Linked DNA regions of Caenorhabditis elegans. The protein of the gene in region 2 interacts with the protein of the main gene of each other region in a pairwise test. Each region holds a gene or a part of one and is shown on either strand. Other genes may lie near its edges.

Region 1 (4,250 bases), on a different chromosome or scaffold from region 2:
TTCAGCGGAGGTTCATCTTGTCGTATAATGCGTGCAATTGGTGAAGTTCGTGAACGTCAACGCCGTCAGCCAGTCTTCCTGTCTCCAATGCGAAGTCGAGATGATTCTTTGGATGATTATCATTCAAGCAGTGCCGATGATATGTACACTGGCGCTGCTGCTGAAACTTCATCTGGAAACTGATTTTCTGTAGTTTCTCTGTTCTCTCTCTCTCTCTCTCTCTGGTCATTTTTCTCTCTTCTAGTTTTTCTGTCTCTTTCTCTCATTTTATTGTGATATCTTTTCTCTCTCTCTCTCTCTCTCTCTCTCTCTAATCCTCTGTTTCGTGTACAAAGTTTTCAGTTTCTTAATTTGTTCTCTGAAAATCATCAAACCCCTCCAAAATTTGCTTGCGTGTAGAACTTTTCATTACAAACAAAAACCAAATTGCTAGTGTCTTTCCTATCCAACTACATTATAGAGATTTCTAATCTCATGTCAATTGTTTCATGTATCATTCTACAAAACTCACACACATCCGAATCATCATAACTATCATAATAATAAGTTTTATTAACCAAAAATAAATAAATATATATTTCATGATCGTTATTCTCCGAGCACTTCCGCATCATCTTCGGCAACCCATAAGTAAATCATTTGTCCTGCTGCAGTCATGAGTCGTTCTTTTTTCGGATGAGCCGTCAGAGAATGAATCACTTTTGAAGGATGTTCGAGTTTCGACACGATGTGTGAATCGAGGAGACTGTAATTTATTCTTTCTTTTGAAACTAATATTGTTACCTACCTATACACATAAACGAATCCGTCTTCTGAGCCACTTGCCACGTGCTCGATGGATTGTAAAACTCGGCAGTCTAATTTGTATTCCGTGTTTTGATGACCTTTATAGCTGAAAATTTATAAATTTATAGCTCCAATTTTCATACAATATTCAAAAATATGTACCTTGCTAGCAATTTTCCACTAGATTTATCAATAAGCCGAACAATTCCACCCATTACTCCAGCCAACAGGCAATTACTGTCTGGGGTAAAGCTGACACTGTTTACTGAATCTCCCATGTAGTCGACTGTCATCTGAAAATTAGAAATTTCTAATAACTTGAAAATTCTTTTTTTTTTTCAATTACATTTCCATCTCTAATACTATAGACTCTGTAATTTCCATCAGCACTTCCAGCAACAATCTCATGGCCATTAACATCAATTGAGAGAATTCCATCAGTTGATTCATTGAATATTTGAATAGGTTTTTCACTTCGAGATCTGCAGTCAAATGCCTGCATTGTACAGTCCATTGAGCCGGAGAATACCACAGATGATTCTTCGTTAAATGCCACTGCATTCACTTGTGCTGAAAATATTGCAGGTGAGATATTACGTGCAGTTTATTTTTGGAACATTAAAAAAACGGTAATTTTTGGTTTTTTGAATTTCAAAAAAAATTGAAAAATCAAACATGTTCGTTTTTCGACTTTTCGATTTTCCAGCATTTTGAAAAAAAAACTTCAGATTTTTCGTAAAAAATATCATAAAAATGCTGGAAATTTTTTTTTCTAGCGGAAAATTATATGTTTTTCTCATTTTTTTAATCAACATAAACGAAATTATTTTAATTGTTTGGGCAAAAAATACGGTACCCGGTCTCGACACGACACGTTTTTGTAAAATGCAAACGGATATGCGCCTTTGAAGATTACTGTAGTTTTTTAGTACTTTTCTAGTTTTTTCACATACTTTTTCACGATTTTTTCAAATTTCATATGTTTCTGGTTTATTTTAGTTTTTGAATTAAAAAAAACCTTTTTAAAAAACAATGAAAAATCGATTTTAAAAATTGCGCAACAAAAATTTTTGAAACTACAGTAATCTTGAAAGGCGCCTCGAGACCTGGGATCGTATTTTAGCGCAAAAATCACAAGATATCGCGTCAGGGTAATACTTAACTACCTCCATGTGTTCTCCACCGTCTCAATTGTTTTCCAGTTTCTACATCAAATACTGTACAGGCTCTATCGGCTCCACCAGCAGCTATCTGTGAATTGTCTGATGATGAAGCGGCGTCAAGAACCTCATTTCCAGTTCCAGAATATGTTTTAAGAAGACTGCTCTTCAATGGATTCCATAATTTGACAGTTTTGTCACTTCCACATGTTACACAGTAATTTCCATCGACTGAAAATGGACTTTATTGAATTAAAATATATTGTTTCAAATTTACCATTATATCGAACCGCACGTACTGCACCTTGCTTACAATCAATTGCTCTTGCACGAACCGTTGGGCATTTTGACATTTTACTGGATAAATACAACTTTTAATAATTTCAGAAAAACAAATTGAGACTTGTAAGATATGAATGGCTTCTGCTAAACCAGAAAATAGATCCAAAAGAATTATAAAAAAGGAGAGTAATTCATCAATTTCATCGGGACACTTTCAATACAGTATAATACTCGAACCGAGGTCAAAATAATAAAGATCATCACAATTGAAATGTTGAAGGCAACTTATACTTGTTCCTAAATAATACAAACATAATTCAAAACAAGAACTAGATAATTTAAAATATATGTTCTTCAGATAACTTTGGCAGTAGCTTCTTTCTGTTCGGTAAGAGGACGTGGTGGAATTTCGATGACATCGAAGTATATGTGCTGAAATTATATATAATTAGTTGATACCTAGCTAACTAGCAAATACCTTAGCCCTAGAATGTGTCAAAAACTTTTGATTGGCAGTTACAGTAGTCGTTTTGGTAACTTCCGCGCATGAGAAGACTCTCTGAAAATATATGAATTAAATATTGAATAAAGTTTTTTCAAAACCTTTGTAATTGACGTTATTCCTTTGATATTTCGTAATTTGACAACTCTTCCAATTTCATCTGATGGTTGATCCTGAACACGCTCAATCGTCTTGCTTAGCTCTTCGAATCGCTTCTTCTCCGTAGGCCCGCCGACATTTTTTACGATTTCTGCTACTCTTCTATAGGCAAGCTCACACATAATCAGATGATGTCCTGAACATTGATAATATTATTTTTGACAAAAATTGCAATCCAAAACCTTTCAATTTTTCCAGCACTTCAGCCTTCGCAGGTTTCAATCGTTCACATTCCACATGCTTATTGATCATTTCCTCTTTGAATTGATAATTCACACCACCAGGTTCACACATGTTCGAAACTAACAACATCACAGCCGAAATATCAAGATTTAAGCGTGGCAGTGTTGACTCTGACTGCGATTGTGAGGAGGGTAGCCTGCAATAGAGTTATTGTAGTACGGGAAAAGAGAGAGAGAGAGATGGGGAGACGCAAGAACGTGTTTGCCTTTCAACGGGACAGAAAACATGGCCGCCATAGCTCAGTCGGTTAGAGCGTGGGTCTAATAAGCCCAAGGTCGCAGGTTCGACCCCTGCTGGCGGCAAAATGTTTTGCTTCTTATTTCATCAAAACCTATTTAAACTTACGTTGGAATAGAAGCAGCATCTTCATCAACTTCATCCCAGTCAGAATCTTCCTCTTCTCCAAGCCGTTCAATTAATTCTTCGTTCCATTTTCCACGTAAACTAGGATCTGATTTATCGACGTGCTCTCCAATAACAACAATTCCATGACGAATGAGTTTTTGGGCCATCTCTGCTAGAACTCCATTTCTGAAGTAAATTCGTATTTGTGGTCGATTGAAACGGCGTGATACGAAAAGATGTTGCTTTATTTGTGCAATAACGTCGCCATTTCGTTTTCCGTCTCGATATTCGATGAGAACGGTTTTGGCGGGGCGATTCACAAGTTTTATCTGAAAGAAAAATTAAAATTTTATTTGAAAATATATGAAAAGAGTTTAATAATAACCCAAATGCGGATTTCTTTGCGATTTTTGTTCAAAAAATACGGTGTCTGGTCTCGACGCGATAAATATTTGAGAAATGCTAAAGCGTATGCGCCTTTAAAAGAGTACTGTAATTTCAAACTTTTCAGTTTCTCGTAAAAAATATTGTTTTTAATTCAGGAACTGAAACAAAACAATTAAAATACACAATTTTAATACAAATTGTGAGAAAAACTATTACAAATCGATAAAAATTTCACAGTGACGAAAATTCGTTTTATTAAAAATTACAGTACTCTTTGAAAGCGCACACCTGTTTGTTTTATACGAAAAACTGTCGTGTCGAGACCGGGCACCAAATTTTAGGTGAAAAATGGCAAAAACTCGGATTTGTATAATACTAACCCAAAC
Region 2 (5,844 bases):
ACCATTTTCGCTAATTGTTTTATGTATAAAACATTAATTTACCAATTTATCCCACATTTATAGTATTTCATGTAAAAAACCAATGCGTTTACTGCTGAAAACTACAAAAAAACTAGAAATTGTAGTTTTTCAGCATTAAAATTTGTTGGGTTTTTTTTCTAATTAATTTTTCTAATTTTTCAAATTAAAAAAGGTTTTTCAAATGCAATTCAAAAAATGTTTCTAAAGGTGCCGGTTAATATTTGCAGACTGAAAAAATGGAAAACAAATTGTACTAATTTTTAACAGAGAAAGCATCTGAAAAACTAAAATCTTTGAAAAATTGAAATTGAAAACTCATTTCTGCTCGAAAAATGTGACCTCAGTGCACGAGTTCGCAGGAACCAAACCTCACAATCCTTGAGAGAATAGAAAGCGAGAGAAATAGAGAACGAGAGATGCAGACAATTTAACTGGGGACAAATAGCCACACGGGAGGAGAAGGATAGTTCAGACATCACTTTGAGAAATTTTATGTTTCATTTTTACAAGTCGAAACCATAGTAATATATGATAATAAATAAATAAATAAAAAAAATTAACAAAATGTTTAATTCAGATTATTTCTTCTCCTCCCATCCATCGGAATTATCACCGGAATCGTCGGCACTAGACGAAGAATGTTTCCTCTTTGTCTTCTTTTCTTTCTTGCTCTTTTTTGATTTTTTCGATTTCTTCTTCTTTTCCTTCTCCTTCTTATCCTTTTTCTTTTTCTTCATATTCTTTTCTAAAAGTTTCAGTACTTCCGTTTTTGAAAGAACTGGTTTTGAAGATGGAGGAAGAGCTGGACCAAATGAAGATGCAGAAGTTTCATCAATAATCTGAATATCATCATCTTCCTGTTGCTTTGAAACTCTCAGCAAATCCCTATTTTCTAATTCTTTTAATTCTTTTTCCACTCGTTTTCTGTTCTCCTCCTCTTTCTTCTCAACTATTTCCCTTCTTCTTTTCAAATCCTCTTCTCTTTTTTTCAGAATCTCTTGCCGTTCCTTCTCTTCAGCTTCTTCATCTTCACTATTACTCTCATCTGAGTCTGCACCGTCTCCATCTCCAAAAATGAAATCAAAAAACGATTTTGGAGCTTTGTCTACCTTCTGATTGTTAGGCTCGGCTTCATTTTCCTCTTCTTCATCAGAATCCTTATCATCATATTCTTTCTCATCGTCATCATCTGATTGATTTCTTTTTTTCTCTTCTGCTCCTCTCTGAGCTCTCGATTTCAGAAGTCGCTCCCTCATTTCAATTTCATTTGCAGTGTTCGGAAGTCCCAACGTTGCCGAGACTCCACCAATATCTGCTAATCGATCTTTCCGCTTCCAATCAGTCTTCTGAAGAGCTGGAACTCCGACAGTGTCTGATCCAGGATATGGATGGGGAACATTGAATCGTTTAGCGAGAAGATTGTCAGGATACCTGAAAATTTAAAAATTTCTACATTTTTCAAAGGGACTAAATGGCTAAAACTAGCCCTAAACAAAAAAATTTCATAATAAGAATTCTCAGAAAATTTCTAAAAAAAGAGCCAAATATTGTAAAATCCGAATATTCGTCATCTTGATCTTGTTGCAGCACATACATTTTTTTGCCTTTTTTCGAAATTGTTTTTTGAGAAATCTCATTATGAAATTCGGTCGTTTTAGATGATTCTCAATTTAGAAACATACCAATCAAAGCTTTGCCTCGTTTTTTCTCCAAACATTTCCATTTTCACAGCGGCTAATTTATCCTCATCCTTCGTTCCAACTTTCAAATCACCGCCAGCTTCTTTCACAAATTTCGAAGCCATCATTTCATGAATCGGCGCTGCTATGGCAGTTTTTGCAAGTGGCTGAGCCCTGGATTGTACTTCTGGAAGCATTCCCCGTTCGTCAGATGTCAATTTTGACTCGAATTCTTTCTTTTCCCACTCCCACTCCCAGACAGTCAGATCAGTGGGCTGAGGGTACGGTAGACCACGTCGAATATAATGAAGAAACTCTTTAAATCGAGCTTGTCGCATAGGCTCATCAGGGAATTCAATTCGATTCCGTTGTCGTCGATCCCGATCTTCTTCTGCTTCACCACCACCACGCTCATTATCACGTTTTTCGACTTCATTTGCCTTGATATCCCATCGACTTCTTCGTTCTGTCGGTTTTTTGGAACTTTTGCCTCCAATTTCAAGTGCATTCACGCGATCTTCACCAAGGAATCTGAAATAAATAAAGTTCAACAAAAATATTCTAAAATTGACCGAAATTTAATGATGAGAATGGCCAAAAAAATGTTCCAAATAATTTTCAGGTCAAAATTCTCGGAAAAAGCTGAATCGATTTACGTTTTAAAAACCCGTAAACTCAAACTTTAGCAAATTTCGGAAAACAAAAAAAAGCGAAAAAATATGAATTATTGTTAATTTAAATCATACTTTGCTCTTTGCTCCGCATTCATATGTTTTACATCATTCTTCATCATTTGTGGAAGTTTCGAGATATCCATTGGAATCGGACGATGATCGCCTCGAAAATTCGGCGGAACTCTTGGAGGAGCATAGAATTTTCTTGGATTAAGCCTCTTTGGCTGTAATTCAAATGCAGTAACCAATTTCTGTGTTTTCAAATTACTCTCTTCTGATGCTCCAGCTACATCCAATGAAAAATCAAATTGCGAGAGATCATAATTCGAATAAACACTTTCATCTTCTTCTTCAAATGCTCCAACTCCGAATGCTTGTCCTTTTATTCCTTTGCTATTTTTCTTTCCGGATTTCAAAGCCAAAGTTGTTCTACCGTATGACTCATTAAGTACAGTAGTCTTACGAAGACCTTGATATCCTATTCCATGAGTTCCAGTTAATGGGGTCAGTTGTTTGACAAGAGCATCTTCATTCGAAAATTCGTACGCTGGAGCCACCTTTGAAGCTTGCTCGCGGTCGAATTGGGCTTCCGACGACTCGCCGCCTGGAAAAATTAATTTTTTTTGAAGGAATTGATTATTTGGTTAAAGGAGGATTAATCGATAAAAATCTTGGTTTCTTGGACTCAAAATGGCCCAAAAAGACCGAATTTTAGCACGAGAATCTTCAAAACTAATTTTTTTTATTGAAAACACAAACCGAATTTTGCCAAAGCGTCTGGGAATCGATATTTATCTAATTTTTTTTTGGGAATTTAGGTACATTTGGACCAGATTTGATCTCTAAATGTTCTTAAATCCACGAAAAAACGCTAGACGAACAACTTTGAAACACAGAAAAAACAACCCAAAAAAATTCCGGCACGGAAAAGTTGACGAAATTTGTTAAATACCGCCATAAAACATTTTTGAAAAGTTTCGGTGAGGACTCCGCTGTAAAAAATTCAAAATCGCCTCAAATCCATCCTGAAAAACCACAAAGAAAACACGAAAAAATTGCCAAAGAACGAAAAATCGCACTCCTACAAACGAGATTTTTCTTCTTTTTTTGCGATGTTTCCCTTTTTCCATTATGGATTTTAAGAATTTCAGACTAATTTAAACTTTTTTTGATAACTCCTCCTTCAATTAGATATGCTCTCGAACCTCTCTTCTGTTTCTGTTTAACATTTGCCAATCCGATGCCTCGTCCTTCTCTCCATCCCATTGATCGGAGCATCCGTACTCCTATCGAATTACTAACAGGCTTCACAACATCCTCAAACATCTGAGTTATCGTTGAAATACTTGTCGTATCCCGTTCCCAAGCCATTTTCCTTTTCTGTCCAGCTCCTTCACCAAATGCCGCAGTCTGTTTTATCGATCGATTCCCTATTCCATATTCTCCAAGATCTTCTGCATCCATAAAATCTTCAGCTCTTTGTTTTATTTGTTCTCCACGTTCATTCCGAGATGATGAGAACACTTGAGGAACCCATCCTTGCTTTGATCCAACTGTATTCCAATAACCAGCTGAAAATCCTCCAGTGAAGGCTCCATGGAATCTCCGTTTTCCTTTTTCATCTGTTGCTATCTCTTCGTGGATTTGAGTTGGCTTTTTTGATACAGAGCTTCCTGAAATTATTTATTTTTTTCCTGAAAACTGTAAAATTGCAGACCTTCTTCGTCATCATCTTCGAATTCCTGACCATATGCTGCTAATTTTTTCCTGTTCATTTATTTAGAAAAATCTGAAATGAAATTCACATTTTTTTCCAAAACTTTTTAGGAAACAAAAATCAATATTTTAATGGATTTTTCTGAAACCGTATATTTTCCAAAATTAATTTCAAAAAACTCGAGCTGAATGACACCTATTTATTTAAACCGACAAACTAAATCATCAATATGATAAATACAAAGAATAAAAATAATTGTTCTGTTTCTGTGTGATCACTTGTTGACCTTGTTGAAGTATTCCTTGCTGGTAGCGACTCCTGGCTTGATGGTTGGAGAATCCTCATGCCAATCAGCTGGGCAAACCTGAAAAATTAATTTTTTATTCGTCGAAATTTGTTTTAATGGACTAAAACTAGCCCGAAACGACCGATTTCCTTTTCAACAAAAATTTAAATATTTTTATGGCGGGCCAAAGTTTCGGAAAAAAAACATTGCATTTTTTTTGCTAGAAATTAAATTTTTTGTAAATTTCAAAATTCACCTCTCCGTGCTTATCAGAGAATTGGAATGCCTTGAGCACTCTCAAAGTCTCATCAACAGATCTTCCAACTGGAAGATCGTTACAAGTAGTGTGACGGACAGTTCCAGATGGATCAATGAGGAAAAGTCCACGGTATGAGAGTCCGGATTCCTTGTCGAGCACACCGAACGAGTCGGCGATCTTCTTGTTGAAATCAGCGAGCAAAGGGATGTCCATATCACCGAGTCCTCCGTCCTTGCGTGGAGTGTTAACCCAGGCCAAGTGAGAGAAGTGAGAATCACACGAGCACGCGACAACTTCAGCTCCAAGAGAACGGAACTCGTTTGCACGATCTCCGTATGCGATGATTTCAGTTGGGCATACAAAGGTGAAGTCAAGTGGATAGAAGAACATGACGAGCCATTTTCCTTTGTAGTCTTGATCAGAAATCACCTGGAATTAATTTTTGAAAAAAATATATATATTTGTTATTTTTAACCTTGAAGTCTCCATCAACGACAGCAGTTCCTTTGAAAGCTGGGACAGTATTTTTTGGTCCAAGTGGACGAAGTGACAAAAGAGCACGAGATGTGCTCAACTGGCGGGTGGCAACAGTAGGAACCGTGCGGCAAAGAGCTCGAACAGCAGAAGAAAACATCTGCAAAACTCAGATATTCAGAAATCTTTTTTTCCAGAATTTGATCTACGAAACAATTGAAGATATCAAATCGTTCCAAACTGGTTAACGATAAAAAGAAAATAGCAACAGCAGATAATTGAAAAATGGTCATTTTATTCACTGTTATTGCATGTGTCACATAGATAACAAAAATCGCAAAATTGAGAAGAGCGAGCGAGTTGAGACCAAATAGATATTTAAAATTTCGAATGGTAAATTGGGAAAGAGGACAAAAAATAAATAGAAAAGGAAAAACTTAACAGTGACGTGTAAAAAAACATAAAACGTGGATTGGAGAGGACAATTAAGTACGTGGTTTTCAGCGCTTTCCAGAAGTCTTCTTTCCCTTGACGAAGCACCAATCGACTTTGACATTCTGGCCGAGAAGATCTGTATCGTTGCTCTGATCAATAGCTTCGTTGGCTTCCTGGAAAATAAATAATTTATATTGATACCAGCCGTGGACCGCACCTCCGGCGCGGCCCCCCACTTCTGGGGCTGAAAACTAATTTTTCTGAAACTACCGTAACCCTACAGTATTCCTACCGTACCA
Region 3 (3,353 bases), 310 kb from region 2:
TGTAATTTTCAATTCTTTTGATATTCTTGATGTAAAAATTATATTTTTTATCGAAATCCCGTCAAATATGCTTGGAAAAAACGAAATTTCAAGAAAATCATCATCTACCGTACTCATGGGTACTGTAGCTGAAAAGTTTCACTCGCGTCGAGACCCGGAAGCATCATTTTGCTTTGAAATTTGCGCGTTTTTCCGATTTTCGATTCAATTATTAGATGAATTGAAAACTATCAGCGAAATCGTTTTATCATTTGACAAAACCTGAAAATTTTCTAAAAATGTTTTTTGTCAGACTGAAGAAAAATTATTTTTAGATTAAAGGATTAAAGGATTAAAGGACGATCGGTTCTTCAAGTGCTATGCACTGCGGATCTGGGATTCAGGTACACTGCCTGGTGGTGATCCTCTGGGCTGTAATTTTAAGCCACGTCCTAGCCGGGGACTGTGGCCGATAATCCAGTCGTGGATTGCTCCACTTCCCAATAGACATTCTCTTATTTTAAAAATAGAAATGTTGCAATTAATCGGAATTTTGCAGTTGAGGGGTATCGCCCCAAAAAAATTTTAAAAAAATATGTTTCAAAAAAGTACTTCTTGAGGACTGAGGCGACTCAACTCTTCCCCCACCTTCCACCAATTTTGCTCATATAACAGTCCACAATTGTGTGCCCCTCAATATATTTCCCCTTCGGTATAATTGGCCCATTTGCCCTCCACAATCTATTCACACTGTCCATCCCGACCGTCCGTCTCTGTTTCTCTCTTCTCCGTCGTCCCCCACACTTTTCCTACCCCCGCTTGTCGTTTGCACGGCCTTCAAACCCAAAAAACCGATGAAAACCGTATCTGAAATAGTTCTACTCTCCGTTTCCTCGTTTTCTTTGTTCTAGAATGGTTTCAAGTTCGAAATTCTCAAAAAATTATGAGGTTCGAATATTACCCAGACGCAAAATTTTGAGATTTTTGCCCTGAAAATACGGTACCTGGCCGCGAAAAGGCAATTTCTGAGATTTACAAACGGGGGTGCGCCTTTAAAGGATACTGTAATTTAAAGCTTTCGTTGCTCTCTGATCAGATTTTAATTGATTTTTCATAGTTGATCTCACAATTTATTAAATCGAATAATTTTGAATTTTATTATCTTAATTATTAATAAAGTAATATTATTTAATAAGTAAATTTATTTTCAACCAAAAACTATGAAAAATCAATGAATACTGAAATTACAGTACTCTTTAAAGGCGCACACCCATTTGTTTTCAACAAAAATGTCATGTCGAGGGCCATTTTTGCAGCTGATTTTTGCTATTAACCCTGAACAACTAAAATTGAGAAAATTGTCCAAATTTCATTCATTTTAGCCATTTTTGTAAGTCGAATTGATAATTTCTGAAAAACTCCCGCCATTAATTTCAAATTACGATCTGCAAACACCATCACGTAAAAATGCACAGTTTTGCCTCACGTTAAAATTTGCAAATTTAATTTTAAAAAATTTATTTTCTCATCTTTTCTCCTCATATTCTCTTCATTTCTAGTAATTTTCGTTCGAACAATTCGATTTCAGAATCAATAAAACATTAAAAATGACGGAAGGGGACGATCAATTAATATCGATTCGCAAACAACTTGAAAATTTAAATAATGCAACAGATGACATCAACAGTTATGAGATGAAGTTGGAAACTGTCAAGAAACAGTTTTGGTGAGTTTTAATTCATTTTTTATTTTAAAATAATTGCTTAATCGCTACACGTCTAAAACTGGAAACCTTTTATTGCACTAGTCATTCTTAACCAATTAATTCGCAAAAAATCGTACCAAATCTGGTTTTGATGCTAAAATAATCTTATATATTTTCAGTGAAACCCAACTAATGTTCAACAAAGAAATGCTTGGAATCCCTAAAAAGTTGGCCAAACACATATCAAAATCCCGTCAATTTTTCGATTTGAAAAGCCGCGAATCGGAAATCAGAAGATGTGTTCAACAAGCGGCAGCTCAATTTGAACGACAAAAAACTTCAGTTGAAATGGCAAGAGAACAAGTGCAAATACTGCATAATTCATTGAATAACAATCAAGAATTGGATGCAGAGAAACAATATGTTGATGTGATTGAGCAACAGTTGGAATTGGTTAAAGAAGCTGAGGGAGAATGTTTAAAAGCTGAAAAGTGTCATGCATCACGTGTCAGGGATTTGTTACAGTTGGAAATGGCTTTAAGGAAATGTTTAGAGGAAAATGGGTGAGTTTCAGGCATCAGGCAATTTTCTGACAATATATTTTCCGAATTTCAGATCTGCCATCAAAAAATCCCGGCCCTATTACGAACGAAAAGAAGTTCTGACGCGAACAATGAATTCTCAACTTGAGTTAATGTCAATTTTGGAGCATGAAGTAAGAACTAATAAGAATAAAACTGTATATAGATTAAAATAATTTTTAATTTCCAGGTACAAGAACGAAAAGACAGCTACAGTGATTCGATGCGAGCTTTAGAGCAGATCAGCGATCAAATTCATCAGGAGCGTTCCTCGCAAAGCAGTTTGGCTCCTTCGAGTGATGCAGAATCCGACAGCTCTTGATACTCTGAGCCACACCCTTTCTTCTCAATTTTCCACGTGTAATATTAGATTTTTCACGAAGTTTCGAAATCTCGATCTCACTTGTACTCACGTTCCACACCCAATCAACTTCACCAAAAATGTATTTTTACGGGTTTCAATCCCCTTTCTCTTTGCTCCTCATTTTCTCTATGTATCTCTTTATTTTGTGTTCGTCTGGTGCTTAATAACAATTTTCTTGAAACATTAAAAATTGTGATAATGAGAAGACGATGAAGTGCCCACAAAAGCATCTACGTGTGCACACGCTGCACTTCTTGTCGGAGCACTGGATTTATCAAGCAATCGTGAAGCCAATGTGCATAGCTCACAAAGAGTGGATGCCCTTGTCGCTGGTGGCAATCTGAGGGTGAAATAGATTGTTGAAAAATTGTAATTTTTTGAAATTTTGAGACGTTAAAAAAAATCGAAATTTCGTTGACTTGCAACTTGCGCGTCATATATAGTGTCAAGTACGCATACACCGCGACGGTAGAATGCACAAAATTGTCAATTTCAAAATTTTCATGATTTTTCTTTTATTTAACAATTCAATTTCTCACCTGCTAACCGAAGCGGGTCTTCTTTCTTCTGGAATAATTGGAATTTCTTCATCAGAATCCCATTTAAAATACTGAAAATTGTTCACACGCCGGCCAAGCTTTGGAATGCTCTAAAAATATTTGTGTCATATTATTGTTTCACTTAATTGAAGAGATTACAGGCATTTCTATATCATTCCGATTAT

What was found. Proteins that work in one complex are often made in the same cells at the same time.
Region 1: the proteins of gpch-1 (region 2) and wdr-83 interact in a two-hybrid assay, tested with the Caenorhabditis elegans proteins (one large-scale study listed by BioGRID).
Region 3: the proteins of gpch-1 (region 2) and rei-1 interact in a two-hybrid assay, tested with the Caenorhabditis elegans proteins (one large-scale study listed by BioGRID).

What each region holds. Positions count from the first base shown.
Region 1 is NC_003280.10:5,029,410-5,033,659, forward strand, and holds wdr-83 (WD repeat domain-containing protein 83), read right to left. Parts: upstream 2,304-4,250; 5' UTR 2,300-2,303; coding exon 2,224-2,299; exon of another isoform or gene 2,178-2,223; coding exon 1,953-2,177; intron 1,357-1,952; coding exon 1,133-1,356; intron 1,080-1,132; coding exon 949-1,079; intron 893-948; coding exon 788-892; intron 746-787; coding exon 589-745; 3' UTR 535-588; downstream 1-534. Other genes in the region: Mitogen-activated protein kinase kinase kinase nsy-1, read left to right, coding at 6-183; F33G12.3 (DUF1308 domain-containing protein), read right to left, coding at 2,583-2,660, 2,707-2,787, 2,832-3,025, 3,072-3,268, 3,478-3,806, 4,245-4,250.
Region 2 is NC_003281.10:4,406,870-4,412,713, reverse strand, and holds gpch-1 (G patch domain-containing protein 1 homolog), read right to left. Parts: upstream 4,164-5,844; 5' UTR 4,150-4,163; coding exon 4,092-4,149; intron 4,048-4,091; coding exon 3,580-4,047; intron 2,979-3,579; coding exon 2,447-2,978; intron 2,232-2,446; coding exon 1,704-2,231; intron 1,453-1,703; coding exon 600-1,452; 3' UTR 507-599; downstream 1-506. Other genes in the region: putative peroxiredoxin prdx-3, read right to left, coding at 4,366-4,455, 4,634-5,065, 5,112-5,270; RNA-binding protein rnp-4, read right to left, coding at 5,611-5,718.
Region 3 is NC_003281.10:4,096,362-4,099,714, reverse strand, and holds rei-1 (Guanine nucleotide exchange factor rei-1), read left to right. Parts: upstream 1-1,524; 5' UTR 1,525-1,586; coding exon 1,587-1,705; intron 1,706-1,863; coding exon 1,864-2,247; intron 2,248-2,299; coding exon 2,300-2,399; intron 2,400-2,455; coding exon 2,456-2,587; 3' UTR 2,588-2,812; downstream 2,813-3,353. Other genes in the region: C03C10.7 (uncharacterized protein), read right to left, coding at 2,813-2,969, 3,169-3,278, 3,328-3,353. UniProt on the Caenorhabditis elegans protein: Guanine nucleotide exchange factor for Rab GTPase Rab-11.1. Spatially and temporally regulates the distribution of Rab-11.1 to target membranes during embryogenesis. Plays a role in cytokinesis, probably by targeting rab-11.1 to the cleavage furrows.